4 linked regions of the Oreochromis niloticus genome follow. The protein of the gene in region 1 purifies or fractionates together with the protein of each later gene. This does not show direct contact. Links are inferred from orthologs where the notes say so. Each region holds a gene or a part of one and is shown in the gene's direction. Other genes may lie near its edges. The genes, in order: kmt2cb, paxip1, ncoa6 and pagr1.

Region 1 (8,265 bases):
GTTCTGCGTGCAGCTATAGGAAATAAGTATCTAGCTGCGCAGTGAACTATTGTGGGTTCGATTCAACAATAGCTGTTCTTCTGCAGAGAAAGAGCTCAGCCAGCATTCGGTTTCATGTTTCTTCTCTCTTCTATTATATTAATATGATCCATCTGCTCACCTGGTAGCTGTCTGTCCTTTTACTCTGCAGCTGCCTCCTGCTCTACCTTAGGCAGCACTGGTGCTTTGTTTCTAAAAGACTCCTAAAAGAAATACAGGATAAAACTGAAAAGCAGGATGGTTGTTATCTGAAATACTGATATTATCAGCAGTGTTTTTTTCTAGTTGCAGCAGCAAAAATAACGATCTGCTTCTTTTTAAACATTTTCGCAGATAATGTTGGCCTGTTTGTTTTTTTTATATATATTGCTGAGTCTATGTCAACTATATTTCTCAGTAATGGTGTGTTTTATATACATACGGGTTGTCCTACATGGTAGCTCATGACACATAACAGTTTGCATGCAATGGTCTGTAAACTGCACGTATAGCATCTATATTGAAAACAGCAGCCAACATAAACAGGCAATTATTTTGCAGGAACAACATAAAAAAAATCCACTGCAACACTTTATACCCAAATGATGACTTGCAAGGCTAGCAATGTGATGGCTGAATAGCCTAAAAAAAAGCCTATTCTATCTTACAGTCACAGTATTCTCTTGAAAATTAGTCCTTAATGCTGATAGCCAAAGGGCACCAATTAAGCTCAACAACCAGAAAAGAGCTCCTTGAGCATTTATCCATTCGCCATGAAATTATGCTTTGTTTTGCTGATGTGACTTATTGTATTAAAGCACATTTATCTGCTAATAATTATATAAACCTACAGCATAAATGTACACTGAATTATATTGCAAGATGAGGAAATGTGCATGAAGACAAACTGAGTTTGAATGCTTCACCTTGCCATCGGTTACCTGACGAGAAACAAATCTTTATGAAGACTGCACACAAATGTTTGTCTTTGAGCACATTTAATTATCTCTTTTTACTAATATTACTTTACATTAATAGGCAGGATGCTCCTTATTAAACACTATAAACTAGGTACTATTTGAATAAATTGATAAACAATAGCAAAAAAAAGAAAAGAAAATGTAAAATATATTGTATTGGTAGAAATAAAACAGACAGGTTGCATTTTTCATGTTGAATTACAGAGAGCAATTTGATCCTGTTCCTGTTTCCAGTGTTGTGTGAAACAGTAGAGCCATGCTGCCCTCTGTCTGCAACATACCAAAATACTTCTTTATCCCACACTAATGAGCTTTTTGGAGCATTTCCACCATGTCTAAGCTTTGCAAATTAAATTACATGCTTGTTAAATCTTAAAGAATAGTTTATATATCTCATATGGTGGTAAAGCAGGATTCCTCACTGTGTAAGTGGCTGGTGTGTATAGAGCAACAAATATTAAAGAGGTTTTTGTGTTTTATTTGACATTGAAAGAGCTGAAAGGCTTGCTTGTTTATTACATCAGGGATTTTTATGGAAGAGGTTTTGACACGTGGCAGAAATAACCACAGGTGTAAATAAAAAAATCAGTGGTTTGGGGGTGCTGCTTTTGTTTGCGCTGGCACACAGTTACACTGAAACATAGCCAGTGTTTGTCATACTAAAAATGCATGTACTTTTAGTGGTATAATGAGTCAAGCTATATGTTGGCCAGAAGGATGATTTTTGACAAAAGCTGTGTGATCTCTTTAAATTTAAATTCACTTCCAGTATAAAACATGATGTTACTGTCATTATTGCTTTCATTGCATACGAAAACAGTCGTTTTAAATCAGTATTAAGTACAGAGTCGCTCTAGTAATTACAGTCTTGAGTCTCTGTGGATCAGTCAGTGTTGAGTTTGTAAATGAAGGAATTAGGCCAACAGGAGTATCAGCGATGCAACGCTAAACAGGAGCTTTGTGTTTTCAAGGTAATTAGGTCAATGGGTGGTTAACGGTGTGAACGTACACCCACACAAAGGTCACATTTTAGAAAGCGATACCGATGAGTGTCGTGTCTCATCCTTACGTGCTGTCAGGAAATACTGCTGACCAGAAATTTGACTTCACAAAACCTGGTCCAATATATATCAAGTTAAGCTGTCTCAGCAACACCTTTCCAGTTCTGGAAAAAAACTTACAAATTCTTTGAACAGATGAAACTAAGATCATGTAGTACCCAGTAATTACGGAGAAGAAAAGGAAAAGTTCAAATGATCCAAAGTGTAGCACGTTTGTGTCCCATCTGTCAAACGTGTTGGGGGAAATGTTAGGGCACGGCCATGTATGCCTGCCAGTGGAGCCGGGTCACTAGTGTTTATTGATGATGGTTAAGTTGTGAAGGATGAATTGTGAAATGCACAGGGCTATACTCACTGCTCAGAGTCAGCCAAATGCTGGAAAAGAGTGGGCAATGCTTCACAGTGCAAATGCATAATCACTCAAAGAATGCTGCAAAAAAAAAAAAAAAAAAAAAGTTTCTTGAGGCAAAGAAATACGATCTTCTTCAATGGCCAAGTGCGTCACCTGATCTCAGAACAGCTTTTCAGTCACAAAACTAAAGGCAGAAAGACCCACAATCGCACAGAAACTGAAGGCAGCTGCAGGAAAGATTATGCTCTAGCATCTCATGGGAGGAAGCACAACATTTGGTGATTTTCATGGGTTCTGGACCTCAGGGACTTATTAAATAAAATGATTTTTTTTCTTATACTTAAAATTATGTTAGTTTGTCCAATTACTTTTGAGCCTTTTGAAAATGAAGAACTACATATAAAAATGTCTCTAATTCCTAACCAGTTAATGCAAAAGGTTTGTTAAACCCTGTGAATTAAAGCTGAAAACATACACTTCCATCAGTCCATTTTCTTCCATTTATTCAATTCAGGGTTGGAGGGGGCTGGAGCCTGTCCCAGCTACCATAGAGGCAGGGTACACCTGGTATAGGTCACGAGTTTATCACAGGGCTAACACAAAGACACAGACAACCATTCCCACTCACATCTATGGGCAATTTAGAATCACCAATTAACCTAATTCCACTAACTGCATATTTTTGGACTGTGGGAGGAAGCCAGATTACCTGGTGAGAACCTACAAAAATGCAGGGAGAACATCCAAACTCCACACAGAAAGATGGAGATAAACCCTGAACTAACACCCTGCCACTGTGCAGTCCTGAATAAATATATGTGTATAAGCAAAAGGTCATGAGAAACCCATCATTTCTTTGTTTTACTTCCAAGGAGCAAAACTTTCTTGTAAATTTTCTGAAGGTCAGTCAATGTTTTCACTCACTTCCAGCCCAGAACAATGTTATTGTTTGTTACAGCACTTAAAACTCACCTATGAATCATTCAAGTGTAAAAAAAAAAGGCATCTAACTCAAGGGTTGAATGTTAACTTTCCAAAGAGTCATTATAAATTGTATCTTTCAACACTTTGTTCCTAGCAGCCTGACATAAAAACACATATTTTGTTTATTACTTTTGTTGAATTAAGCAAAATCCTCAAAGACGACTTGCCAAAGGGTTGGGATATGTCTGTATGGTGTGCAGTGTGTTCTTCAAAAAATTTGAGGAAAAAGAACAAGACGAGGACAGAAGAAGAAGTGGCAGACCTAAAACAAACAAACAAACTCTACAGCAGAAAAACAGTATCTGAAATTCATATTGTTAAGAAACGAGGACAAATCCAGCATAGACCTGACACAGGGCCTGAGAGATGCATCTATCTATTCACTGAAGCCTCAGAAATTGAAGGGTAGTTGTTAAGGAACAGGGAGAGAAGAACAGGGTATGCAAAATTACACAAGAACTGGACTTAAATCAGTGGCAACAGAGTGATAAAAGCAAATTAAACATTTCTGACTCAAATTATCATCAAATATATATGGAGGAGATCAGGAGAGAGGTACAACAGTGAGTGTCTACAGCCAACTGTATAACAAGGAGCCTGAATTTCAGCCAGGGGTGCAGGGGCTCCTGTAAAAGTTGTTAGAATAATGAATAAAAGTGCCATCGGATTTTGATCCACTGTGCAGTACCATCTGGAAAGCATCTGACTGGCAACTGCTTCTTTTTTTCCCTATCCTGCAGCCAAAGGTCCATCCTACTCAATGGATCAACAGACAAAAACTTTATTATAAATGAGTTAATGGCACATTTAAAAATGACGCATCACATCATTAAAACTAGCATATTCTTCAGAGTGATCATTTCAGTGCTTGGAAATTCAGACTGTATTTGAAGGCAGGGCTTCTCAATGTCCATATGTCCATATATTGACCACTACAAACCTATCACCTATCTTAAATGCACATCACATCTAACTTCCCATTTGTATTTTGCCTGTATTGTAGATGTTCAGGTTAGTCCTCCCTGCCCTTTGTTCTCGTTTATATTTGCTTGATGTATTGTTAGCATTATCAGATTCCATGCTTTTAGGTTGCCTGTTTGGCTGTCTCTTGCATATGTGATAACACACACGGATTATAATACACAACCTCTATTGTGCTGTTAGACAAATTATTCTAGATTTCTGACTCTGTAGCCCAGAGCTCACTATTGAGAGTAAACAAACTAATGAGTGATTATGTAAAGGAGAAGCCCTGGAAAACAGTTTCTGTGCTGCTTTGCATTGTCTCTGTAATTCTACTGTAAGGACGAAAACCATTCTTACAAAGCACACTCCCTCATTTGGTGTGTTGATACCAGTGATGGTGGCTTGTCTAACATGCAGATACTCCCACTGATGATCAGTGGAGTTAAGAGTTAATTACTGCAAATACAACTGCACATATCTGCCTTATACACACCTTAAAAGCCTCTACAGTCATTATATTTCTCTGATTTTCCGAGTGCTTGCTTTCATTTGCCACATTTTTTAATGCGCGATTTATTTGAACTATGTCGAAATGATTGCTACCAACAATAATAATAATCATAATAATAATAATGATAATAATAATAACAATAACAATAATAATAAACACTTTAGATTAGCCAGCAGGGGGAGCTCTCAGTTTAGGAAGGAGGTGCCAAGGTTTACCATTTAAAGGAATAGGGCTGCGTTTATTTCCAGTTAATTTTCTGAGGGGCTTCACTCGAAGAAACTCTGGTAAGTTGTAGTTAAGTGAGCCTTAAAATCGAAAGCAAAATCTAACCAGAGACACAACATTCTCTGCCTCTATTACATATTATCTACAGCCGCTGAAAGCCGACCCCTGGGGTCTTTTCCGAAAGTTAACCCCTGAATGTACGGTGGGTCGGCCGGTTTGTTGAGTACCTTTATCTAACACATAATGCAACGCTTAAATCTGTATACTGGGCGTGTGTATGTGTGTGTGTAGGGGGTGTAAAGCAGGAGTAGAGACGCCGTCGTATGGGAGCAGCTGAGGTACATTCGCATTCAGCCTAAACCACCAGCTCCATGGCGTATTAAAGTTAATCCATTTTTTGTGTATTTTCCCCCGGCTATGAGGAAGCCTTCCGACTGTTGGATTCTCTATAGCTACAGCTGGCAAAGATTTGCATGAGCTCAAGCACCAATGGTTTCTAACAGCTCCAACTCCAAAACGGAAAAAACTCCAGGCTCCATCTTTTCGGGCCCTCCCTAGCCATTATTTTATTTACTAAATGCTTATATCCCTCCGCAGGGTCAGAGAGTATTTTGAAGAAATTGTAAAACGGTTTATCTGCTATTTCTCGTTGCGTCTTCTAATCGGTCTTTTTAAACACGCCTCACACTCGCGAAACATCCCTTTCTCGGCGAGCCCCGTCGATTCTGAAAGATTTGTGCCCGTAGTTGTGCTGTTCGGGGGGAGGAGGAGGCGGATCTAGTTTTTGAGGAGCCTGGAGAGGGGGGGCTGTGCTTCGGTGCCACTTATCATTAGATATGGCCACCGTTACAGAGCGCCCCGAAGCGTCATCTTCAACTTAATTTTGTGCTATTTCATAATCATTTTGCAGCTCGGTCAGCGCGGCAGGCGAGATGTTGTTTTTGGCAAGCTAATGTTTGTTTTTACATGTCTTTTGGAGGCGGTTGTTACTGCGTGGCAGGATGACTGTGAGTCTCTCCTAAACTGGCCGCTTGGTCCCGCAGCTTGTCGCAGCTGAAGAAAATAGAACCAGTTGCCAACCCCCAGCGGTCGGCATCCAGCTTTTTTTTTTCTGTTGCTTTGCGGGTCGCTACACTTTACCCGAGGATTCCTACTTAAAGTTTGGCTCACGGAGCATTGACTTTAGCAGCCGCTTGGATTTCGAGGTCGTTATGTTTACACGTTAATGGTAAAATTATTGGCTGTCGACTTGGGTGGCTAACACCAACTAGCTATATAAGCCGAACTCGTGCGACGACAGCTGTCATTGGAGAAAGGAAAGTGATCCCCGCAGATGCGTGTGCCAATGAAGCGGTTTTCTGTTGGATTTACATCATCCGCTTCTCCATCAAATGGGCAAAGTTGGGAATAACATTGCAGCGCTGGAATATAATGATATGCGTTGTGCATTTTTGAGAACTGCGGTGTTGCTTCATTGGAGAGAGGCTAGCTAGCTCCATTAGCTTGCTAGCTAGCTGGGTGATAAGTGCGACGTTTCATCCCCCTTATTTTGGACATGAAGAGGATAACTCTCTATTCATAGGGCTGGAAGGTAAGCTATATTTGCCTCTTTGGCCTTTTCCTTCAATGTAAGCTGAGTTTGTTGGGAATTTACCTTTTCACGTAAGGCTGAGCCAACCTTATCCTTCTCCAGTCTGATGTTGGGGGTTTGTCGCCGCCTTGGCTTTCATGACTCAGACTATTCAACGGAACGGAACATTCAATTGAACATTTCATGGGTGCCATATAAGCAAATATTAACGCATTTACTGCACTATTCAGTGCGAAAACACACGGCTATCGTTAGTTGGAAGCTAAAAGAGAAAGAAACCAGAACCTGGGTGGTTGTGTAACGTATCGTTTTCACTTTTTGTGCATCATTGTAGTTCCCTAGAATAGTTCCGTTTCATTGAATAGACCGAGCCTTTGTGTGTGTGTGTTGGGCTCAAATGCTCCCCTTTGCCTTGCACCCGGTTTGAAGCTGGCTATTAGGAGGGGTAGTGTTTTTTAAGGTCGCTCGACAAGTTTTCTATGAGCCATGGACATGTTTAACACTAGGATTGGGAAAACAAAGAGGTGAAGCGTTTTTCACTGTTTTGGCGTAGGCGTTAGTTGCAAGTATGAGTTGGACAACTAACTGCAACCATAGGTAACCTGTTTGCTATAGATGGCCCTCTCTTTCAAAGTTGTCTTACGGGATAATGGCTCTAAAGCCAAGTACAGTCCTCTTTCGGTTGTTAACAATGATAAATGGCTTCGTTTATTTTTCCAATTTCTGTTAAATTTAGTCGACGTCAACGTTACTTTTGTCTGTGGTCGACGAAGAAAAGGCGACAGAGTTGAGCACAACAAGCTAGCAGTCGTTAGCTGGATGCAGCTGCTTTGTGCCCAAGCTTCGGTCAACAAAAGCTAACGTTAGCATGTTTTCAGCTGCTCCCGTGGTGGTCGTGACTGCCTTGTAGTTACCGGATCTTAACCTCAGATGCCCCAAGTAAAGTTCTCGTCACCTTTGAGCCTTTGCTTGTTGTACAAAAATGCTCCTTATCCGACGACTTCTTATCGGATCCTACAGTGTTTAAAGAGACAATGTCTTCAGGTTTTTTATCTCAGAGGTAACATTCCTAACTTGGGGTTTGTGCAGTCTCAACATTATTATAGAGGGTTTGTATTTTGTGTTCAGTTTTGGTGTTGGACGACGTCTTAAAGGCTGTTGAAATCAATATAATTGATAGAAAGATGTTGAATTGCCACAGACTAGCAGCGAAAGGTGGTGTTTGTCAAAGTGAGATCTCTTCTGAGTCACTGAAAAAGCCTAACTAATAATTTAAGCCATTTCTGACCACACTGTCTGCGGTGTTTAGTGCATGGATGGCACTGAATTTAAAAAGGTTTAATGTAGCACAGTTTATTATGATCGCATGTATTAAATCTGGAACTGCATGTATCCTCATGGACATTATTATATAGATGTGGAGTGCTGTTACTGCACATAATGGGGATTGATGAGACACAATTTTATGCTTTACTGACCAAAGGACTATGGGTCTGCAGTTTGGAATGAGTTTGCTTTTATTATTTAGTATGTGTCGCAAAATTGTGCACATTTTCTGTCTGTGCGATGCTTATTTC
Region 2 (8,084 bases), about 16 Mb from region 1:
ACAAGTATGGCTAGCCGCGAGGCATAATGGCTGGAGCGACGAAGAGGCTGCTACACACTTAGCGCTAGCATTGGAAGGAGATGCACTGCAGGTACTCCTTGACCTAGCCCCGTCAGAGCAGCATGAGCTCTAGACCCTCACCATAGCACTCGAGAGGCGATTCGGGCAGCGGCACTCCACTGATCAGAGCAGAGAGCAGCTGACCAACCGGAGCCGTCGGCCGGGGGAGAGCCTGGGCACCTTTGCAGCGGACGTGTTGCTGCATGCTCGTCGTGGCTACCCAGAGTTCCCAGCAGCAGCCCGTGAGGAGCTTAGCCTGCATGCTTTTCTGCGAGGACTTTTTCCAGAGCGACTACGTCAACACGTCCGCCTGGCCATGCCTCAAATTCTCCGTGAGGCGCTCCTTGAGGCTGAGAGGGCCGAGCTGGTGTTCACCTCGCAACCTAACCAGCAGGTGCCCCCCCAAACTGCCCCCAAATCAGAGTCGCAGACTGCGACGGGGAGGGGAGGTCGTCGAGATATGCCAGTTGCAACCCTCGGTGCCCCGGAGGCGTCCCCGTCGACCGACCGACCGCTGCTACCAGTGCGATGAGCCTGGCCACGTGGCGCGTGACTGCCCAGCACCTGCCCCGAAGACCAGGACTACGCAGCCTCAGGGAAACAGGGAGGGAGCGGTGTAGTGAGGGGACCACCGCTCCAGCTTCCTGCCCCCCTCCAAGGACGATGCACGGTGGTGGGCCGAGTTGGGCACCTCAAGTGACTCTACCTGAGCTGCTGTGTTGAGGACCTGCCATGCCAGGCCCTGGTGGACACGGGGTCCACCATTTCCCTGATACGACCTGGCGTGCTCCCTGGAACGTCCGGGCCATTGGTGAAGGGTTGGTCGCCCACCGACACCCAGCTGATGACGGTGACGGGTGAGAGGGCTGATATGCGGGGGAAGAAACCGTTGCGGGTCCGAGTGAAGGACCTGGAGCTGGTGCACGACTTCTGGCTTGCTGACATTCAAGACCAGTGCATCATCGGCCTTGATCTGCTGACCCGCTGGGGGGCCTGCGTCAACACCGCAAAGCGGGATATCACTCTTGGCACAGAGACTCTTGCCCTCCAGTGCGGTCAAAAGCAGCGAGCGGAGGGAACCCGAGCCAGACGAGACAGGCGTCGGGCGGCTGCCGCTCAGCAGATTTCGGGTGCCGGTGGCTCCGGGTCATCTCTACGCACCTCAGCCCCGGCCTCTCAGCCCAACAAATCTCCCTCGACCGAGACAACCGAGGCTGTTGGTGACCTGTGGCAGCGCAGCAGCGTAGGTCTCAACGTTGACCAGTGCCAGCGGTTGAGGTGCCTCCTGGACGAGAATGTGGACATCTGTGCCGCCAGTGACAAAGACTGCAGGCAGATGGGCCTGGTCCAGCACACCATCGACACAGGCTCTGCTCAACCCATCCGTCTGCGCCCACACCGGCTGCCCCTCTCCAAACGGCAGGTGGCACAGGAAAAGATCCATGAGATGGCTGCGGCTGGGGTGATCGAGCCGTCCAACAGCCCATGGGCGGCACCCGTGGTCCTGGTGGGGAAGAAGGATGGCAGCCCGAGGTTCTGCGTGGATTTTCGCCGTCTCAATGCAGTCACCGAGAAGGACTCGTACCCGCTTCCACGGATCGACGAGGCCCTGGATTACGTTACCGGCTCCAGCTGGTTCAGCTCCCTCGACCTACGCAGCAGCTACTGGCAGGTGGAGCTAGCCCCCGAAGCAAGGCCTAAGACTGCATTCACCATTGGACAGGGGCTGTGGCAGTTCAGGGTCATGCCATTTGGGCTCTGCAATGCGCCAGCGACGTTTGAGAGGCTGATGGAGAGGGTGCTCGTGAACATCCCTCGTAGCCGCTGTGTTGTGTACCTGGATGACCTGTTGGTGCACGGTGGCGACTTCGACAGTGCACTGTCTCACCTGAGCGAGGTCTTCAGCGCCATCCGTTGAGCTGGGCTGCGGCTCAACCCTGCGAAGTGCCAGCTGTTGGCGAGAGAGACTACGTTCTTGGGCCATGTGATCAGCGCTCAAAGTATCGCCACCGATTCCGCAAAGGTGGCTGCGGTCTGGGACTGGCCGACTCCCTCGAACGTCAAAGAACTGCGGAGCTTCCTGGGCCTAGCCTCCTACTGCCGTCGGTTCATCAAGGGGTTCGCGACGATAGCCAGCCCCCTCCACCACCTGACTGACAAGGGCCAGCCGTTTGGCTGGGGTGATGCCTGTGCTGCGGCTTTTGCACAGCTGAAGGAGGCCCTCACCAGAGCCCCAGTTCTGGCCTACCCCGACGCCCGGCAACCTTTCATTGTGGACACTGACACTAGCAATGTAGGAGTCGGGGCGGTCCTTTCCCAGCAGGGCGAGGCCGGAGAACGAGTGGTGGCATACTTCAGCCGTGCTCTGGGGCGAGCCGAGAGGAACTACTGCGTGACCCGGCGGGAGCTGCTGGCCGTAGTGCTAGCGGTGCGGCACTTCTGGCCATAACTGCACAGTTGCCGGTTCCTCCTGCGCACTGACCATGCATCTCTGACCTGGCTCCTGAACTTCAAACACCCAGAAGGTCAGGTGGCCCGCTGGCTGGAGGTCCTTCAGGGCTACGACTTCGAGATCCAGCATCGGGCAGGTCGGCAGCATGGCAACGCTGATGCCCTCTCCAGACGGCCCTGCATGGCCGTTGAGTGCCGCTACTGTCTGCGACAGGAGGAGCGGGCTCAGGAGGCCCTGGGGGTGGCTACTGCTCAGGCCACAGCCAGCGGAGGGGGTGGCTCCCACTGACAACGCAGCAGCTGAAGCGGGAGCAGGAGGCCGACGCGACGTTGGGTCAGGTGGGGGCCTGGCTGGAGGCGGCGCAACGCCCAGACTGGATGGGGGTGTCGGGTCAGGAGCCCGAGGTGAAGGCCTACTACTCCCAGCACAACAACCTGGAGACCCACGACGGCCTCCTGTACCAGAGATGGCGGGCCCCCGGTCAGGGCAGAGATCTCCTGCAGCTGTTGGTGCCTCAGTCGCTGCGGTGGCAGGTGCTTGAGCTTGTCCACGGCTCGGTGGGGGCAGGCCACTATGGGAACGCCAAAACTCTCCGCCGCCTCAGGGGACGGTTCTACTGGCCTGGCTGTCGACGGGATGTGGAACTTCACGTGCACTGCTGTGACACCTGCACGGCGCAGAAGGGCCCCACTCAACGCTCCACTGCCCCCCTTCAGCAGTACTTGGTGGGGGCCCCGATGGAGCGAGTGGGAGTGGACGTCCTAGGGCCTTTCCCCGTCACGGAGTCAGGGAACCGGTACGTGCTGGTGGCGATGGACTATTTCACAAAGTGGCCGGAGGCCTACGCGGTGCCGGACCAGAGTGCGACGACGACGGCAGAGAGGCTGGTGGAGGAGATGTTCGCCCGTTTTGGGGTCCCGGCTGAGCTCCACAGTGACCAGGGGCGCAACTTCGAATCGAAGGTGTTCGGGGAGATTTGCCGGTGGCTGGGGGTGGAGAAGACAAGAACCACACCGCTCCACCCGCAAAGCGACGGCTTGGTTGAGCGTTTTAACCGCACACTGGCTACCCAGCTCGCCATTTTCACCAGCCGCCACCAGCGGGATTGGGACCGACATCTGCCCCTGGTCCTTTGGTCGTATCGGACTGTGGTTCAGGAGTCCAGCCAGTGCACGCCTGCCGCTTTGATGTTTGGGCGGGAGCTCCGGACGCCTGTGGATCTGGTGTTTGGGTCCCCCCCGAGCCGGAGATTGACGGTGGGCCAGAGATGGACTACTACAGGAGGCTGAGGGAGCGGCTGCAGGTGGTTCACGACTATACCCGCCAGGCCCAGGCCAGCGCCGGAGTACGACAGAAAAGGGCCTACAACACCAAGTGCCGGGGGGAGGCTTTTGTGCCTGGCGACAAGGTTTGGGTGTACTGCCCGGTTCGCAAGAGAGGAGTGTCCCCAAACTGTGCAGTCACTGGCAAGGGCCGGCGGAGGTCGTGGAGCGGCTAACGGAAGTGGTGTACCGTATCCGCATGCCGGGCCCGGGCGCATGGTGGTGTTGCACCGGGACAGGCTTTCACCGTACCGACCGCTCGCTCCGGCAGACGCCGGGGCAGGGGATGCTGGTGACACCCCAGGTTCTGATCTGAGTGACTTGCGCCAGAAGAAGGCACCCGGACACTTACAGGACTTTGTGTGGGGTAATGGGGCTGTTGGGGACGACTGACCCCTTAGGTGGGGGCTATGTAGCAGGCCAGGGCTGTTCGGGGTTTGTTCTGTTATTACAGTTATGTGTTTGTTGTCATGTTGTTATGGTGACGAGTGACCGCTCTCTCGGCACTGTGTTTCCGGTGAGAGAGCGCCTTTTTTTGTTGTTTATGTTGTTGCCGCGCTGAGGAGGGTGGTAGCGGCAGTGTTCTGGGCCGGTTATAAAATAAACGGGTGCTCCCAAATACACCTTTGTCTCCTTCGTGACTGAGCTCGCCACAATATTTATATCAATATTTTTGATATGACAGTTTATTCTGTTGGTAGTATTAAATATAGGATGAAATGAATGCTTTTATTTGGTTCTCAACGGCTTTCCACGGTCAGGCTTTTTTGTGTGTGTGTTTGTCGTTTTTCGAAGCATTCTATTGCATTTGTCCTAAAGTCAACCCAGCTCAGTCTGTTTGAGATAATCTGGTTTCACGTTTAGATCAAAACAATAACCTTTACGTCACAGGGGGGTTATGTGTCTATTTGAAAACATATTTGTAAATTCCCGTCGCCGTTATTCTGTTATATGAGTTCTTTTACCCCAGTAATATTTACGATAAATTACATTTAGCGATGCAATGTTTAGAGAGATATAAAAACCAAAGCGACTGAATACAGAAGTGTTGATTTGCGACAGACCCCCCTCAGCAAGCACATAATGCTGCAGTCCAAGGCGCGCTAAGCGATTTGGCGCTAGTGTGTGTCCGGTGTTCTGTAATCAGCTGCTGCAGCGCAGGCACTTTACACTTTGAGCTTCTGGCTGTTTTTGAATCATACAGTGCCGCGACCTTCATGGCCAGTCATGTCTGAAGAAGAGATCAAGGTTTCCGATGAGCTTTTCAAAGATGTCAAATTCTACGTGGTTGGGGATATTGATCAAAAGGTGAGGTTCTGGACGTTAGCAGCTTTAGCCAAGTTGGTAGCCTGTGCTAACTAGCTAGAGTCATTGACTGTAAAGCAGGTGATGCAAGAGAAGCTAAGTAGTAGCTAAGTATTTGAGCTGTCTTTAGCTGACCTCTGTGAGCCCACGTAACGGTGCTTGAGACTTTCAAGTGACGCTCGCTCACTGAATACTTTGTGCAGAAGCTCCTTCAAACTGCACTTTCACGCAGCCCTTTAGCACTAGCTGCGAGTTTTGCATGTTAGCTGCTAGCTTCTAGCTTGCGGTTTGTGAGGCTCAGGCTTGCTGTTGCCGCTTGTTAGCATTTTTTTTCTAAACGATTAGCCTCAGTAATATTGCTTGGCACTTTTGATAAGCAGTGAAACGCTGCACTGCCAGTGTATTGTGTTACTTTTCATCAACCTATGACTGTCAGCATCTTCCTCTGTTATTCGCCCATTACTGCGCATGTGTCCGCAATTCCACTCGTTGGTACTGAACACCTGTGGTAAAGAGCTGTCCTTCCTGTCAAATGGCACTATCCAGACGCTTTGAATCTGCACCGAGAACAAACAATACAATTATCTTTTACGGTCTTCTCATGGATTGATGTCTTATTGGGATTGCTCCAAGCAAAACCTCACATTCTAAAATCTAGTGGGTCGTGTTGAAGTCTGGCTGCGGTTAAAGGCTCAGTTACACTTATTCAGAGCAGAGAGGTGTGGTGGACAGTGCCGTGTCTTCCTTTAGAATGAAGTTGTGCACGGTAGGAGAGATAAAAAATTTATCAAAAAAAGTATTTCAGTTTTTCTTATATCAGTATCATTCACTGAAAAATTACAGTAACCAGCTCCGTCTTTGTTTATTATGGCACACAGGTAATAATTGTAATATTATTATCAAACATGTTAATATTAACACTAGATTTGGGTGGAGCACAGGGCTTCTCATCTTTTTCATTTCTTAAATGATCGGTTGTTAGTGCTTCATGCAGTCCATGTTAAGGGATGTGACAGACCAATTTTCAGCCAGTGCGAAGGGGCTTTAATTAGAGCTGGGCGATATAAGATTTTTTCATATCACGATATGTTTTTTTCATTTCAGGCGATAACGATATATATCACGATATAAGCCAAATAACTATATTTGTAAGATTTAAATGTGCCGTTGCTCACAAGTAAAATGTGAAATAATTAGCAGCTTGTTTTAATTAAAATATTTATTTCCCATAATAAGTTCAACAGGGTAGATGTACTTAAGGAACATGAGACTTCAGTTTCAGATAAAGGCAAATATTGTAAACTACACAAAAGGCAGCCGCTAAAGCGTTTAAGTTTCAAAATAGAACAAACAAAACAGACCACTAAATTGTCGATTCCACTTAGAAACAAAATTTTAATTCTAAAAATAAATCTTAGGTCGTTTTACAGAAGAACAGACAAAATTGACTAACTTTTGTCAATATCAAATAAACTGAGAACTAAAAGGAAATTCTCAGGCTACGTCCACACGTACACAGGTATTTTTGAAAACGGAGATTTTCCGTTTTCGTTTTAAAAAATAATCCCGTCCACACGTAAACGCAGAAATGAAGGAAAACACTGCTAGGAACATGCCAAAGCAACAGGTGGCGATATATTCCTAACCGTGTAGAAATGTTGGCCAATCAGAAGTCTAGAAGCCTCGGTAGGAAATAGTAAACAAAGATGGGGCATAGAAACAGAACCGAGTCGTATGTGTGGAGGGACAGTAACTATGTGTGTATATGTAAGCATTTAAACACTGCAGAGAGTACAATTAACAGTAACAGTATTGTAGAAATTCATTTCACCCAAACAATAACGTGGCGCACAGTGTGACGTCAAAAAAGGCGCACACCTTTGACGCTGCGTTTTCTCCGTTTTTCTTGTCCACACGTAAATGCAAAAACGGAGTTTTCGAAAATATCCACCCTGGCAGGCGTTTTTAGAAATCTCCGTTTTCAGTGACTGAAAACGCCGTTTACGTGTGGACGAAAGGTGCAAACGCATAGAAAAATCTGCGTTTTCAAAAATACCCGGGTACGTGTGGACGTAGCATCAATCTCTCCTTGTTGTACAGCTTAGCTTTTCAAACAGTTTTAACAGTTACTTTAGTCTGACAAAAGCCGAATGACGAATTAGCGCTTTCAGTCAGAGACTGAGCATGCACCGCTTTATTGTATTTCCAGACTTGCTTTCGGCACAATTTACAGTGCGCGCTACTCTGTTTTTTGTCAGACTTGAAATAGCCGAAATACCTTCACACTACGGAACTTCTGTGGCCCTTCCGTTCGACAAGCTCTCCAGCATTGGAACTATCATCTGTTTTTTCTTCGGTAACCTTCGCTCACGCTCTCGGTTGATTTTTCTCTAGTCGGCAAACTCATTTCCTTCATTACCTGGGCGGCCCGGCTGCAAAAACAAATACACATGTGCGCCTTGGCGCTTGTGCTGTACGTAACAAGTCATGTGACGTGACGCTGCGGCTGTGATTGGTTCGGCTCTGCGCTACTTAATTTGGATTGGCTGTTCTTTTCTTTTTTTTTTAAGAGGACAAGAGAGATGAGGTCTATCGCAATAGTTTAATTTTTCTATCGAGAAAAAGTTATTTCGCAATACATATCGTTATCGTTTTATCGCCCAGCTCTAGCTTTAATGGCGGTTTAGTCTTGAAGATTGCATTGAACAAATATATTTTTGCACATATTTACAGTCACGATAATATGCTGACATTTACACCCTAAACCAGCAAGGTTTTTGGTCTGCCAGCAACAGATCTGACACTGCTGTCTCTTAAGGGATCATGTCCAAGATCAGAATGTGTGGAAATAGTTCCAGTGATAAAAATAGGCATCAAGATATAAATGAAATGTGTCAAATCTTTGATGCAAAGTTTAATTGAAGCGTTACAGCCTTTGAAATCCA
Region 3 (8,227 bases), on another chromosome or scaffold:
TCATGGTCATGGGCCCAGATGACCTCATTGTGTCTGTAATGAGGTATGCAACCCTTTAAAATGGCTGTAGGGGATTTAAGCAAATCCTAAAGATGTTTAAGAGTTGATTAAAATTCATGAATAATGCAAATTAAGACTTCTGTCTGTTTTAGTTCGTTAAACAAACCCTTTGGCAGTGGGATAGTGACTCCTTCAGGAATCCTTTTGAATAGTCAGATTCTGGACTTCTCATGGACTAATAAAACACAGGGCTCATCGCCTAACCCAGTAATTGCAACTTTTTTGTTTCAGTGTTAATGTATTTGTTCTTAACACATTTGCAGAATCTCTCATGGATGTTGTTTTCTTTTGGTTGGTGTAGCATAACAACCTCCACCCTGGGAAAAGACCCATGTCCTTCTTGATGCCCACAGCAGTGAGGCCAGCCGTGGGGTTATGTGGCACATACGTAGCTGTTGGATCATCCAATGGAGAGAAGGCTCTCAGTGGCATAACACAGGTTGCTTAATTACTGGAGGAATTTGTAACTATCGTAGTTATTTTCATCAGTGTGGAAATACACGTTGACAGAAGTTTACTTTGATGTTATTCTCATCCTTCATAGGTGCTGATGAATGTTTTGTCTTCACGTAAAAACATGAGTGACAGTTTAGCATATGGAAGACTCCACCCGCAGCTGGAGCCCAACACCCTCCTAGTGGACTGTGAGTTTTTCTTACTGATAGACACTTTTATCAGGTTTGATCCAAGCATAACAGTGTTGGTTCATGATTACTGCTATGACATGCAGTAAACACCATGCAAAGAGACATGTAGGACCCTTGTACCACTGCTTATTTTGTCTTCAGGTTGTGTTCTCTGTGTACACTATGCAAAGTAGAGGAGGAGCAGGAAAAGCAGCAGGTACTTCTGCTGTCATGGAAAGCAGATGCCAAGGTTTAGTGTTTCCATGGAACAGTAAAGTGTCTTAGTTAAAAGATCAGTCTTCTGTAGTTTTAGTAGGATGTAGCATAAATGGACTGGACTGGTACTTATATAGCACTTCTCTAACTGAGCACTCAAAGTGGTTTTTACTACACGCCTAATTCTTTCAGTCACACACACATACACAGCGCTTTCATTCTATGCCTTAAAGCGCTTTGTCTTGCATTTGCACACACCCTCACACTCAGACTGATCCATGGAGAGCAGCTTGGCCGGTGATCAAACCACCAACCTTCCAATCAGTGGACGACCTGAGCCACACCCACCCCCTAAATCTTAATTTCATATGTGGAAATCCCACGAGAATTTTGTGTTACGTCCAGGATTTATGAATAATAATATTGAATCAGTAGCCACTTTATTAGTTATACATAGACTAACAGATACTAAGATAAGATAAGATAACCTTTATTAGTCCCACACGTGGGAAATTTGTTGGACTACAGAAGAAAAGCATTGCCTGCTCTGATGAGTCTGATGAGTCTTGATTTGTGCTGCAGCATTTAGACAACAGAGTCATACTTTGGCAACATGAATTCATGGATCTGGTCCTGGTGGTGTAAAGATGTAGTGGATATTTTCTCGCCACACTTTGGGCCACTTAGTAAGAATTAAGCCTCATTTAAATGTCTCAGCTTACCTAAGTATTGTTGGTAACTGTTATGACCACAGTGTACACACCTTCTGCTGGCTGTCCATGTAATCTAGCAACTTAGTGCATGGGCTCTTAGAAAAGAAGAAAGCTTGGCAGCTCTACATCTATGATTGCCTGGGAAAATTGTGAAGATGAATACTGTGTTACAAAAAACAGACAGATGAATTATCTGGTTTATTAGAAATACACTTTATTGTCCTCTGGCTCTGTTGATATTAACAAGAGGGGTAAACTACTAACTGAAAGCTTCTAGATAGATCCAACTAATCTACAAAAATTTTTTAAAAATATTTGTGAAAAAAACCCCAATATTTGGCTCCAATCAGTTCACTAAAGTACAAAAGAAAAATGTGTCCAGCTAATCTAGGTAGCCTGAATCTATTGGTATTAATCCAAAGGTATCCTAATGTAGAATCATGAATTATCATATGGTTGAATTAATGGTCCATCTCTTAGCTACCAGAGCTTATTGACTGGTAGATGAGCAGCAGAGTGATGATCATTGGCTCAATCAGAGCCTCTGCTGCCTTCTACCTTGTCTTAATCTTGCCCTTGAATCTGTGTCATAAGTCAAAAGCCAGAAAACACATGCTTGGTTACAAACCTGATATACTAGGTCCTTGTACAGTTAGAGTTTAACCACACTGTGATCCCACAGCTACTGTTTTTATTAGCTCAACATTATGTTAGTACCATCTTCTGTCTCACACTTTCTCTTTCTCTCTTGCAGCCAAGTTTTTAGAAGAGGATGTGGAGGGGCTGGAAGCCAAAGGTCACATAGTTGAGAAAAGAGATATTTTGTCATTGGTGGAGGGCACACGGAGAACTAATGACCTCATCATTGGAGTGAAGGACCCCCGTAGTGCTGATGCCTCTGCCCTTACTATGTCCAATATGCCTTAGTGCATCCGTCCAATCGTACAAACATATAATGCCAAGATAGTAAGACTTACTCTGTATGACGCCTAAAGAGAGAGTGAGGAGGCTGCTGATCAGATAAAGATAACCAAAAGATTCTGAAAGGGATCCTGGATAGCTAATTTGTTTTGCTCACAAGAATACTAAAATGGTCACCATCTTGCATATCAATTACTCTACCACATCCTCATGTAACGTCCAGTCACGGTGTACATAGTGTTGAAAATGTGTGTTCAGTACCCTTACCCTTAGTGGCATCAGTCTGCAGCCTGCATTATGCAGAGCAGGGTAAAGAAATGTTAGGTGTGCTCATAACTTATTATCCAACACACTCCAGGTCGGTGGTGAAAACTGTAATCTTTAAAGGTTAGAAATTATTGGGTGTAGCAGCTAGTTTAGACCTGAGCGAGAGGTTTTATGTAAATTAACAAAAGTAATGATGCCATGAAGTCACCATTTAAACAGCACATGCATGGTGCAAAGTGCATATGAGTCACCGGATTGCTTTTCATCTCTTGCACTACATTTCACCATTAAACCAGATCGCGTGTGAGATCAAATGGAGTGGTGAAGGTGATAGTATTTACACCAGTGATTAAGCCGTGTATTGTCACACATGAACAAGACTGTCCTGAACTGAACACAGAGGCTAAAGCTTTTACTCTCCTGCTCGTTATATGGTGTGTAACTGTGATTAGATGTTGTTTGGTACAGCTGCTGCAGCTTTAACTGTTGCAAACAAACAGTGACTCTCTGGACCATTTTTAAGACTAGCAAACGCATTATATGTCGTACACAAATGTGATGAGACCGTCCTATCTCAATCAATTTCCCTCATCAAGTGGATATGATTCCGTTTAAAAGGTTTTAAATATCAGTTACTGTAGAGTGAACGTATTTAAATACATAATTTAAGACATTTGAGTTGTTGCATGATTTTGTTCTCACTTTGAACCTGTGAAGGCTTTTTTTCTTTTTTTTTTAGAGCTGGTACACTTGTTCCTAAATTTGGATTAATCAAATTCTTTAGAGATGGAATGAATGTAATGACTATTTTTATATGAACATTTGTTGTGCTGTACACATTATTTCTACTGTTGGAGCATTGCATTCACTCGGCACATATTTAGGAAGGGATGTTCTGTTTACTTTTTGCCTACTTTTGTTGTTATATTAGCTAGAATATTTCAGGAGCCAGCAACTTTTGTAAATCATTGCACTTGAACACAAAATGTGTTTGATCTTTGCATCCAGAATGGCCAGTGCTGACTAATCAAATTGGGGTTTTCACCTTGTTTTCTCCCTCACCAGTGCAATATGACTGTTGATGCTTGTTTCCAGTACTGCAGAGTACCATGCCTTAAGGCACACATTTGCACAGTCTGATGTTGCACCTGCCTCTTTGTTTCTTTGTTTGTTCATGTTTGCTGATTTTAACAAAAATCAGCACTGTTCAGACCCAACAAATAAAATGTTTGCACACATCCTAAACATTAAGGATTGTTTATCTCTTTTTGAGCCTTCATACACTGAGCAAAACACTTGAGCCACCACCTATTTCTGTCAGATTTTTTTTTTTTTTGTAATTTTTAAAAAGTGATCTTGAGCAGTAGTTCTCCAGGGTTTTTGAAGACTTTTCAAAGTTTTTCTTTGAACGTTACCACACATTTTCGTTCCTATCTTTTTAACTCACAGTTTTCTGAGGAATCTGTTTTTCTCAGTTAAATCATTTGACACTGACCTGTGAATCATTCAAACAACAAAAACCTTAGCAAAGGATTTTTAATTGTATCTTTAACTGACTATGAAAAATGCAAAATATAGCAGATTGATTGGCATAAAATTGTATTTTCACATTTAACAAGGTGATTCCCAGAGTGTGTGGAGTGTATCCTTAAAATAAATTGAGTAAACTGGACAAGTGGAGGACAGAAGAAGTGCCAGGCTGAGAAAACTACGTACCCCAGATAAAGAGTATCTCAAAGACGTGTCCTTAACAAAAAGAGAAAAGAAATCCACTAAAGAGCTGACACAAGACCTGACAGATGCATCTATTCCTGCAGTTAATACATCTACTGAAGCATCATTGCAAATGGTTTCAGTGTTTCTGTCAAGAAATCATTAAGGAAGGGAAATGGAGAGAAAATGTTTAGGGATGTCAAATTACACAAGACCTGAACTTAAAATCAGTAGCAAATGGTATATGGGGTCTAGTTTTTAATTACTAATATTATGTGATCTATTAATACAAAAACAACAATAAACATTAGTCATACCCGTGAAAATTACAAAATACTTTCTCTACTCAAAGTTGTGTGTTTTTCCCACAAACTGACCACTCCAAAATGGACTGTCAGGTCAAATGTGTGATACTGACAGAATTCCATAATGCTTTCTAAAGTGGTAGTAACTAGCAATGTGACAACCCCACTACCTTTTAAAATTATTCAGCTGCTATTTTACAAAAACGAATTATGAAATAATAATAATAATAATTATTATTATTATTATTATTGTTATTATTAAAATTTTAGAATTATGTAATTTTTTTTTATTTACTTCAGTTACTTTTATTACAAAAAACGTTACTTCCTCGGTTTTTATTTTGAAAATCATCGCCGGAAGTTGTAACTTGGCTGTAAATTTACACTGTATTTGATTCATGTTTTGTTAGCTAATCTAGCAAGCAGATGCCGACTGCTTCAACTTATTTTCAGATGAATATATGTGGTAAGGCTTTTGCTTTTCTTAGGCCTATTTTACTTATCATAATATGTTGTAAGCTAAACTTAGCGAATTGGAAAGCTAATGCATTGCGTTTCAATGCATTCATGCTGAATTACCTTCTGTGCTATCCAGCTAACGTAGCTAACGATCGCGAACTGGAGCCTCTGGAGAAGCCAGGGGGGACAGCCTTGACGTTAATTTATCCTCTTTCATAGTGTGGTGAAAACCGTGTTACTTTCGGCTATTAAGTGTTCTCAAGAGGGCAAGAAAATGCACAGCAGCATAGGATAGGGGGAATATGTGGTCGCCCTGGGGATTTTGATCGCTTTACGTTAGCTTATGTTTGCGCTAAGGCCCGTGCTACTGCTGGGCCGTTGTTGTAAAGCAAGTTACGGTTCATGGCAGTAAATGTATGTGTTGTAAGACTTTAATTGGCAGTAATGTAAATTAAGCTGCACTTTAAATAACCCTGCCTCTTACAGAGCAATTTTCTGTTATTTGACATGTCTTCGATAATAAGTTCACCATCACCGGTCAAAGTGACGTCATTGTATTACAGGTGTGTTAACGTATGATTTGCAGTGATGGCCATTTACATACTTGCTGTACTGTGCCATTGTCTTGAGCCACTACTTATTTCTGTTCAGTTTGCTTGGAAAATGATGCAGAAATTTAGTTAAACTTGCGGAAATATACAGTATATGAGGTAAAAGCAGAGTTTGTACAATTCTAACAAACTTGAAAGTCAACATTTGATATGACCATCTTTATTCTTGAACACAGCGTAAACTCTTAGGCAAGCTTTCTTTTATTCAAGTCATTTCCTTAAGTAGCCTTTAGGAATAGTTCTATGGAACAGGCCTAACAATCATGCCACCGTGCTACTGTATAGTGGATGAAAATCTGGTGCTTTTCTCCAATGTCGCCCCAAACCAAGACAGAGTTTCCACTGTGTTTTACAGATGGTTGTGGGTACTTTTTCTCTCTCTGACTTCTCTCATACATTATCTGGCATTTGACACAGACTAACCTTTTGCCACGCTTGCACTGGTGCACCTAACTTCTTTTCTTAGGTGCACAAGCACAAAAGAACAGCTTGATATCTTATGGACTATGCTCCATTGCTGTCACATGCCCCTCAGATGGCCAACTACTGTAATTTGGCCTTCTTGATCAATTCGAAACGTATTAGCACCAGTCACAAATGCAGTATTGCCGGCCATGGTCTTTCCACACTCACAAAAGTAAATGCAGTGCATCATGTTGTCAGCTTTACTGTATCTTAGCCAGGAAACTTTCAGTGGGCTCTGGCTCGGAGTTGATCATATGTGGCTCATTATCTGATGCTGTCTCCGGACCAGTATTAGACATAACCTGAGATGTTGATGGCTCCATGTCAGAGCACTGGCTATGAATTTCAGACAGATCATGCCTTAACTTAACGAAAAAGTTATCAGTCGTTCTTTTCATCTTTTCTACATCCACTTCTATCAGCCTAGGCTACTTGCCTCTCTCTATCTGCCTGCACTTTCAAACGTACACACATGTAAGCTTACAGGAATATCGGGACCACGGGCAATCAGAGAGGTCCTGCCCTTGACTATCTGTGATTGGTTTAGACCACGATCTGGGCATAATGTGTGTCTGTTGTTGACCACTCTGAGACTTTTTTTTCTTTTACTCGAATGGCTGGTTGCACCGGTGCGACCTAGGATGTTTTTTTTAGTCACACCATTTTGAAATTAGGTCACATGTGTGACCAAATTGGTCACAGTTGCGCTCCAGAGCTCTGCAGAACTTTCAAATTTCAGTTCATCACTCTGTAAGTTCATCACTCTGGTTTTTGGTCCATTTCATGTGTAATTTGGCATACCTCTGCCTTTTTTCCTTAAGAATTGTACTCTTCTTTTGCATTATGTAGTTTAGTTTAGGACTGTCATTTCTGTTGTACCTCACCTTTTTAAGGACACATCTTTTTTGTTTCACCTCAAAGGCATGGGAACAAATGATGTTTTTGCAACAGGCTGCTTGTAGAGCTGGGTGATATAAGATTTTTTCATATCACGATATGTTTTTTTCATTTCAGGCGATAACGATATATATCACGATATAAGCCAAATAACTACATTTGTAAGATTTAAATGTGCCGTTGCTCACAAGTAAAATGTGAAATAATTAGCAGCTTGTTTTAATTTAAATATTTATTTCCCATAATAAGTTCAACAGGGTAGATGTACTTAAGGAACATGAGACTTCAGTTTCAGATAAATAAAGGCAAATATTGCAAACTACACAAAAGGCAGCCGCTAAAGCGTTTAAGTTTCAAAATAGAACAAACAAAACAGACTACTAAATTGTCAATTCCACTTAGAAACAAAATTTTAATTCTAGAAAATAAATCTTAGTTTGTTTTACAGAAGAACAGACAAAATTGACTAACTTTTGTCAATATCAAATAAACTGAGAACTAAAAGGAAATTCTCAATCTCTCCTTGTTGTATAGCTTAGCTTTTCAAACAGTTTTAACAGTTACTTTAGTCTGACAAAAGCCGAATGACGAATTAGCGCTTTCAGCCAGAGATTGAGCATGCACCGCTTTATTGTATTTCCAGACTTGCTTTCGGCACAATTTACAGTGCGGGCTACTCTGTTTTTTGTCAGACTTGAAATAGCCGAAATACCTTCACACTACGGAACTTCTGTGGCCATTCTGTTCGACAAGCTCTCCAGCATTGGAACCATCATCGGTTTTTTCTTTGGTAACCTTTGGTCACGCTCTCGGTTGATTTTTCTCTAGTCGGCACACTCATTTCCTCCATTACCCAGGCAGCCCGGCTGGCTGCTTCCCAAACAAATACACATGTGCGCCTTGACACTTGTGCTGCACGTAACAAGTCACGTGACGTGACGCTGTGGCTGTGATTGGTTCGGCTCTGAGCTACT
Region 4 (7,596 bases), on another chromosome or scaffold:
GTTTACAGGCATTCCAGACACACCTACACACAACAGCATTTTTCTCCGTCACAAAGCCTTTCAATTCAGTCAGACATCATAATACAAGCCAAACAAATAATCAGTCTGGTCTATAACCTGTGGTTACGTGTAGAGGGCGAGGAACCATCGTGTTCGGATTTCTTCTCCTCTTTATGCTTCTTCTTCTGTGGCTCAGTGCCAGACCCCCCTGTCTCTCGTTCCTCTCTGGACCGCTTCACTGAAGACGAAGGCAGATGGAAAATTAACAGTTTAGTATTCAGTGCACTGTAGCAACGGTGTCTGTGGGGGCTCTCTAGAGTGTAAAGCAACTCAGACAAAAATGGCACAGCATCAGTCAAAGTTGCATTGCAGTGCTTGAATTAAAGCCAACAGCAGCAGGTAAACATGAGGACCATCTTTGAGAGAATGCAGTAGGAAAGAGAACATCAGAACGGCAAAAATGCAAGTGGAGCACCAGTTTTACAAAAAAACAAAAATAAGCATCCATCTGACCCAAACTGCTGGGTCAGATGGATGCTTACTGTTAGCTGTTTACTGTTAGCCACCATCCTCTGGGATGTGACATGGGTGCCCCCTGTTGGCCTTTGGCTCAAATCGTGACAAGACTCTTCCTCTTTCCCAATAAAAATGCCTTTTTATACTTTAGTGTCCCATGACTGAAAAAAGTGGGTGCTTTTCTCACCCAGTTTCACTCACCTGGCAGCACAGGCACAGCCACAGTTTCACGGGTGAAGGGTTTGTTCACAATGAGCTTGGATTTGGCCGCAAAGTTGAGTGCACTGAAGGTGTCAAAATAATATTTGTACTCTGGTGCAATATTGGTGATCATGACGGAGTGTGCCGAGCCTCCCAGAGAGTCCTGCAGAAGCCGTGTCAGTTTACTGTCCCTGTACGGCACGCGCACCGAAGTGCCTGAGTTTAGAGAGTCCACAACTTTGCTGAGTGTGAAGAGAGACAGGTTGATGGCACCGCTCTCCTTCAGACGGATGCCCTGGTTGCCGGTGCGGCGGTTGTCCTCTGAGCCAGCCAAATCGACCAAGTACAGTTTGCCTGTCTGTTGTCTGTGGGGAAGTTGCTGCTGAGTCCGCACAACCTATGTCATTGCAGAGATTAAGAACAGAAAAGCAGCAGCGGCACAGAAGTCAGGCAAGAAAAACAAGGAGGTGGTGAAGAGTCATGGGGTGAAAGGAGAAGAAAAAGAAAAAAAAAAAAAAAAAAAAAAAAAAAAAAGAGGATTACATTTTATGAAAAAGCATGACAATAAAGGGAAAAAACAACGAATAAATGAAGAAAAAGGACAGCAGATAATGGTTTGTGTTTCTCTCCCATAGTAATCCCAGGAAGCACAGAAGTTGCTAGTGGGACTGTTGCAAAAGAGAATTGATTTCAGCACCAGCTACCAAATCCTGGCCTACTGCTCAGAGACCACGACCTGCTTAAGATGCTGTCTGGCTGTCCATTTGACACTAACGAATAAAGTAGTTCAATAAACTACACCAAGACCATCAAACCTTAATGAGAAGGATAGCGTGGCTGCGGCTGGAACGCTGGTTTAGCTTAGTAGAAGCTGTAGTACGGTTGAGCGTCGCAGGGACAAAGTGTTTGTCAAAATCTGCGAAGTTGGTGATGTTCATATGTGTCAGGCCAGGGATAAGGATGTTCTTGTCTTTGTCCTCTCTGATGGGTAAATCATGGGAGTTTGGCGACAGAAGATCAAGCACCTGAGAGAACAAGAAAGGAAAGCGGTAATTGATGAATGATGCACACTAAAAGAAAAAAGGTACATTTAAAGGTTCAGAGGACATGCTGTGGAAAATGCAGTTAGAAGCTTTTGCAGTAAATTCAAGAAGACTGGAGGTTAAAAAGCTATGTGCACCCCCCTTGTTTTATTAAATCATGCTGAGGGCCAGTGATCTGAAACTGAATGGGTAGGCTGAAGATGTTTTCACACATGAAATTTTAGGTAAACCAATTCAGATATTTTCCACATTTGTTCATTTTGACATGTAGCGCAACAGGAAATAAGTCTGCTTCAAAAGGTTTCATACTACCGAGATGTAGTGGATGGTGTCTACAAAAGGGAACTGCATGAATATAGCAGGTAAGAGCTGTCCAATCTGACACTGTTTTTTTTATTAGAGAGCTGGCAGGTTAAAGGCTGGCTAACATCCCATCCGACTGCGTCAGATATCTGCATTCTCACATACAGCTCTGCTGGGTGGGGCCAAGACTACCCTGCATGTGCCAAAACATCTTAGTTTGGACTACACCATCTGCATAATAATATTGTTGGCTTAAATTTGCAGAATTAAGGGAGTCAGTTTTTGGTCAATATAAAATCTTCTATGGGTATTAATAGAATTTCTAGAGAATTATCCATTAGAAACGGAAATATTTCCACTTTTAAAATGAACATAAAGGCAGTTTTATTTTCAATACAGGGTTTTAATCAGGTATTAAAGATTGACCACACTACAAGTTTCACTTGCTAAAGTGACATAACAGGGAAATTCATAGAGTTCTGTCAATTAAGGTAACCAAGATTCAATACCTCGGCTGTTTGGAGACATTTGAGGCTATTTTACAACCTTTGGAACAAGTAAGTACCAAAAGTTCATTTGATCCATTTAAATCTAGAAAAAAACAAAAACACAACAACCACGAATCCCCCCCCGCGCTCTATAATGCTAAAAAACGCAGAAACACACTTCTTAAAAGTAAAGACAATGTTTTCTAACACCTCAACTTGAACGACCACCATCTAGATTACTTTACTTAATCATGAACAGAAAGTCACAAGTAATTGTACGCTGTGTCTACTTAAACAACCATACCTTCTCATTGTAAATTTCCAAATACGACATGCCAATGCTGTAGTCCCATCCATCACTCTCATCCTTGGCTTTCACTAGCTTGAAGACCTCACGAACAGCTCGGGGAATCACACCCGGCTGCTCTGAACTCCCCAGCATAGTGTGGGTCTTACCTGTGAAAGAGGATGCAAAAGCCTAGAGTTAGAAAATGGTCTCTTTGGGGAGCCAAAATATCTATAAACAAAATGAGAAAAATCATTGTGACCTCTCTCAAGTCTTAACAGCTTAATTTATAAATGCATGTGCACAGCTAATATACACGTTTCTTGAAACCCTGTAGACTGTGCTTCAACATACCAGCTCCTGTTGGTCCATAAGCAAACACACTGGCATTCTGTCCGTTCAAGATGTGCGGCAGAATGGGCTTCACTGATGAGAGGAAAACTTCTTGCTGTGTCGTTTGTTCACCATGAAAAACGTCGAAGCTAAAAACAACAACAACCACAGCTCTCTTAATATTTACAGCTAGACAATCACTGAAATCTTTACCGACATACATATATACATAACAGATTATTATGAAGGCACTGACTGGTATTTAACAGTTTCTGTGGCGTTCCTCCAGTTGATTATCTCCAGGTTTTGAGAGTCCAGGCCTCTTACACACGGTCCCTCGCTTTTCTCGTCTTCTTTGTTCATATAGGGTCGCAGACGAACAGCTACGCGGACCCTGGATGTCTTCTTGTTTCCTCCATCTGATACCGCCACACGCGTCGCCATTATTGCGCTTCCACAAAGAAAGGCCCGAATAAAGTACAAAAAAAATACAAATAAGCTAACTAGTTAGCCACGAACGTGCTTGAAAAAGACAGTTTGTTTATAACAGCACTGCATGAAAACGCATGCCACTCAAATGAAACCTCTCCCGATAAGCTGTGTTTTCCTTACTGACGAAAGCCTCTCTCGGCTAATAACAAGCTAAAGCTGGATAGCTCAGTCATAACTTCCCTCGCGAACGGATGCTTCTCGCCTGGCTAATAATAGTCCCAAAGCCAAAGCCTGCTATATGCTTACCGATATTATGTGAGAATGTCCGAGACAAGCCACACCTTTGTTATGCCCTAAATTGTCCTTCCAGCAACATTTCGGACGCTTGGTTTTAACAATGGCGACCGCGTCCCTTAAAAACTTGAGGAACTAACCGAACACTTTTTCAAATGCAGAGCGCAGAAACCGGAAACGGCCGTAAACCAATCAGAACTCGCACAAATACTGGCGCCTGTTTTACGTCATGCGTCCATATTAATGAGATTTGTGGCTCTTCTGATTACATTTGTCAAGTTTACGCTACACAAACGTACATATACGCACGCTTTAAAAACAACAAGAACAACATGAACAGAAAAGCAAAGGACGCTAATACAAATTTCGCCCTGTCTGCCCTAAGACCTGCTCGCGCTTGCGCAGTGTGCAGGAAGTCGCGTCGAGCGTAGATCTCCAAACCATTCCCCTCTACTGCTGGAGTGTCCGCTCGTAGTGAGTGTGGATTATCCACATGACGTTGTATCAACAGTGAGGTGAAGCTCCCCCCGCCCCAGCGGTGCAGAGGCTCAGGCAGATCCCTACAGCCAAAATGGCGCTATGTTTACGTCTGTGCATAAGCGTTTGTTATACTTAGTGACTCTCATGGGGAGTTTTTACTGGAAAAGTATTTGACTCAACGTTTTAATCGCTTTCACAGCAGCACTGATCCGGAAGAAGCCGTTAATGACGATTTAAGGCACGTATGTTATTAGCAGACTAACTACTGTTTAAGAAATAGCTGGCGGTTAGGCCTGACGTTAGCTAGCCGCTTGTTTTAGTTGACTATACGTTCACTTATCCTTTAACAAAAGTAAACAGCTACGGCTAAAAGTTATAGCCTCTAAAAAATCCTCTTATCCCACACACTTGTGTATACCTTAAGTTAGTTTCAGCTGCACTAAAATGTTTTCTAGATCTAAATGGCAGGCTTCTGTTCAGCAGATCTGTTGCGAGAAACTTCACCAGCAGGAAGCATGCAAGCTGAGGCCACAGACACCTCACTGAAAGAGGGCATAGAGGTTCTGAACATGAAGGACTCAGAGGAAGCTGCAGAGGGCAAAGAGGACGAGGACAGCACGGAGCAACCGGATACGGAGATGGCAGGGAGCGCAGAGGAGGACGACGCAACAGCCAAGGAGGATACAGGTACAGTACACGTGTAAAGATAGATGCATGCATGGCAGGTGTAGTGAAAGGACGCACAGTAGACAGGAAGTTTCATTATCAGGTTAAAAGTCTTCAGTGTGGACAAGCATGTCCTGTACAGGTAACTAGTGTGAGTAGGAAGTATCACCAAGGACAAATGCACAAGTGTCATGCAGGAGTGTGCAGGAAATACAAGGAAGCAAAGCACAGCTGAAACACGGTCAGTTATCTACCGGTTTATTAGTAGGTACTTACCTTGTCGGCTTCCTAAGTCTTTACATTTTAACAAATTGGCACAAAAGGCAAAATGAGTGAATATATCCACCCATTTTCTTAAATGCTTATTCACCCAGTGTCTGGCGTGGGTGTGGTGCTGGAGTTGGCATTGGTGTGGTACACCCTGAGCCAGTTCTTTGTATGAAAGTTAAAAAGAAAAAGCAAACAGACTGCTGGGACTAGATATAAGCTGTGAGCACCAGTGTTGTGTCCAAAAGTGATTTCTGATGTTTCTGTTTTTAACTGTAATGTATTTGCTCATATATATATATATATATATATATATATATATATATATATATATATATATATATGGTATATAGACTGTAGTCAACTGGATTTATGATGGGGATGTATATTTAAAGTACAGAAATTAAGTATCTTTTTGAGTCTGCGTCATTATACCTAGATTATCCAATCTAGAGCACTTTAAAAAGCAACATAGTCGTCCAAACTGTTTTCCAGGGTTAAAAGACGGCAATAAAATGCAAAAACCATCTATTGAACAAAACAAAAACAAAAAAACATTACAAAATATTAATATTATAATCAATCCAATTGTGAACTTTAAGAAAGTTGGAGGTCTTTTAATTAAAAAAAAATGTAAGTTAAAAAATAGTTTCTATGAAACTATTCAGTAAAGCCAGAATTGCTCAGTATCTGATTCAGCCTTCATTAGAAAAGTCTGTGTTGTTCTGTGCCCTGATGTACTTGATCACTTCAAGTCTTTTGGCTATTTTATCACTTGCAGCAGAGAATATATTACACACGAGAGAAATGTTGGCTCCTGCCATCAATAAATGTCACCACTGATTTCCAATAGTTTTGCTATTTGCACCCCGATGCCCATCAGTGGGTCTGATGTTGATGTTTTGTTGACATATCAGTCCGTCCCTACGTACAGCTTGTCACAGAGAAGTCAAAGCAGTGTGTTTGAAAGATGTTTAAATTGGACCTATTATGTATTGCTTTCTGTCATACATACAGTACTTTTAGCAGTGCTGATTGCTCCTATTAAACATGGCTAAACTTTCACATATTGAGGTCAGTGTATGTACAAGTAATCCCCTTCAAAAGTCCAGCCTACAATCTACACATGGATCTGTCAGTGGAAGCCAATATTCTTTATGTGGTCGCCTCACACATCAGCCACACGACCTGCTGTTCCGACCTTTTGAGGGGCAGCCAATCAAAACAAAAGCACGTAGCTCTAAACTAAGGGGGAGGAGCTACATCAAAGCCAGGTATAGGGTTAATCCACAATAAAATGTCGCTTCATTATTGTTTTTAAAAGAGATTTTAAACTGACTGTGTACGTGTTTTTTCTCAGATGGGAACACAGATGCAGTGGGAGGAAAGGCGCAGCAGGATGAATCTCAGGCAGACGCAGGGGTGGAGGCTGAAGATGGAAAACAGAAAGCCGAAGAGGCGGACGGTGACTGGGAGCTTCCGTACAGCGACGAGGAAATGGAGGACCCCAAAAACTGGGTGCCTCCTCCCGCAGAGATCAAAAGACTCTATGAGCTCCTCGCTAAAGGGGAGATGCTGGAATTGAACTTTGTGCCCCTTCCTAGAAGGCCCCCCACGCCTGAACAGACCTCCTCGCCCGAAAGAGACGAAGAGGAGGAGGCAGCCAAGGAACGGGAGAGGCAGGAGAGGGAACGCAAGTCAGTGTTGCTTTTCCTTTTGGTCATTTCAGGATTAAGGAGTTTGGTTTGAGTGCTTTTGGTTGTTAACCATGTTTTGTTTTTCAGGCCTCCAACTCCAACTGAGTTTGACTTTGATGAGGAGCAAATGCAAACCACTCCAAAAAATGCCTTCCTAAGCCGACGCAGGACTCCAGGTATGTCACAATCAATTATATGTGGTGTCTCTTTATAATCTGGAGGGTTTTTTTCTTTTATTAATAATGATTTTTGCCTGTTGTCTCCCAGGATCTTCTGCCCGCTCCTCTGTTAGAAGGGAAGCTCGGCTGGACAAAGTATTGTCAGACATGAAGCGACACCGCAAGATTGAGGAGCACATCATGCGCACAGGAAGAGATCTCTTCAAGAGTGACAAGAAGCTGGAGGAAGCCCTTTCTCCAAACAGCCAGAGGGAGCGGGAGAAGGAGAGGGAACGGGACAGCAACCCCAACACCATCTTCTCACCACGACAGAGGAGATACTGATGGTTTCTTTTGAGACAAAGACTTGCCCAAAGGCATTTAAAGCCAAGCATTTCCCAGAGGCTTTCTAAAAAACTTGAATTTTTTTTA

The links.
Region 2: the proteins of kmt2cb (region 1) and paxip1 purify together in Homo sapiens (affinity purification with mass spectrometry; 4 studies listed by BioGRID and IntAct, with this or other methods). This does not show direct contact. The link is inferred for Oreochromis niloticus from reciprocal best matches to the Homo sapiens genes KMT2C and PAXIP1.
Region 3: the proteins of kmt2cb (region 1) and ncoa6 purify together in Homo sapiens (co-immunoprecipitation; 7 studies listed by BioGRID and IntAct, with this or other methods). This does not show direct contact. The link is inferred for Oreochromis niloticus from reciprocal best matches to the Homo sapiens genes KMT2C and NCOA6.
Region 4: the proteins of kmt2cb (region 1) and pagr1 purify together in Homo sapiens (affinity purification with mass spectrometry; 3 studies listed by BioGRID and IntAct, with this or other methods). This does not show direct contact. The link is inferred for Oreochromis niloticus from reciprocal best matches to the Homo sapiens genes KMT2C and PAGR1.

Annotation. Positions count from the first base shown.
Region 1 is NC_031982.2:16,677,690-16,685,954, forward strand, and holds the start of kmt2cb (histone-lysine N-methyltransferase 2C), read left to right. Parts: upstream 1-5,136; 5' UTR 5,137-5,156; intron 5,157-5,909; exon of another isoform or gene 5,910-6,688; intron 6,689-8,265. UniProt on the Homo sapiens protein: Histone methyltransferase that catalyzes methyl group transfer from S-adenosyl-L-methionine to the epsilon-amino group of 'Lys-4' of histone H3 (H3K4).
Region 2 is NC_031982.2:752,093-760,176, reverse strand, and holds the start of paxip1 (PAX-interacting protein 1), read left to right. Parts: upstream 1-4,935; 5' UTR 4,936-5,061; coding exon 5,062-5,142; intron 5,143-8,084.
Region 3 is NC_031984.2:16,681,453-16,689,679, reverse strand, and holds the start of ncoa6 (nuclear receptor coactivator 6), read left to right. Parts: upstream 1-5,157; 5' UTR 5,158-5,287; intron 5,288-8,227. Other genes in the region: ggt7 (glutathione hydrolase 7), read left to right, coding at 1-43, 153-267, 362-499, 605-704, 2,370-2,542. UniProt on the Homo sapiens protein: Nuclear receptor coactivator that directly binds nuclear receptors and stimulates the transcriptional activities in a hormone-dependent fashion. Coactivates expression in an agonist- and AF2-dependent manner.
Region 4 is NC_031973.2:16,564,923-16,572,518, forward strand, and holds the start of pagr1 (PAXIP1-associated glutamate-rich protein 1), read left to right. Parts: upstream 1-4,378; 5' UTR 4,379-4,614; intron 4,615-4,859; 5' UTR 4,860-4,891; coding exon 4,892-5,063; intron 5,064-6,669; coding exon 6,670-7,006; intron 7,007-7,093; coding exon 7,094-7,182; intron 7,183-7,273; coding exon 7,274-7,509; 3' UTR 7,510-7,596. Other genes in the region: kinesin-like protein KIF22, read right to left, coding at 118-238, 718-1,114, 1,533-1,742, 2,856-3,007, 3,192-3,319, 3,427-3,614. UniProt on the Homo sapiens protein: Its association with the histone methyltransferase MLL2/MLL3 complex is suggesting a role in epigenetic transcriptional activation. However, in association with PAXIP1/PTIP is proposed to function at least in part independently of the MLL2/MLL3 complex.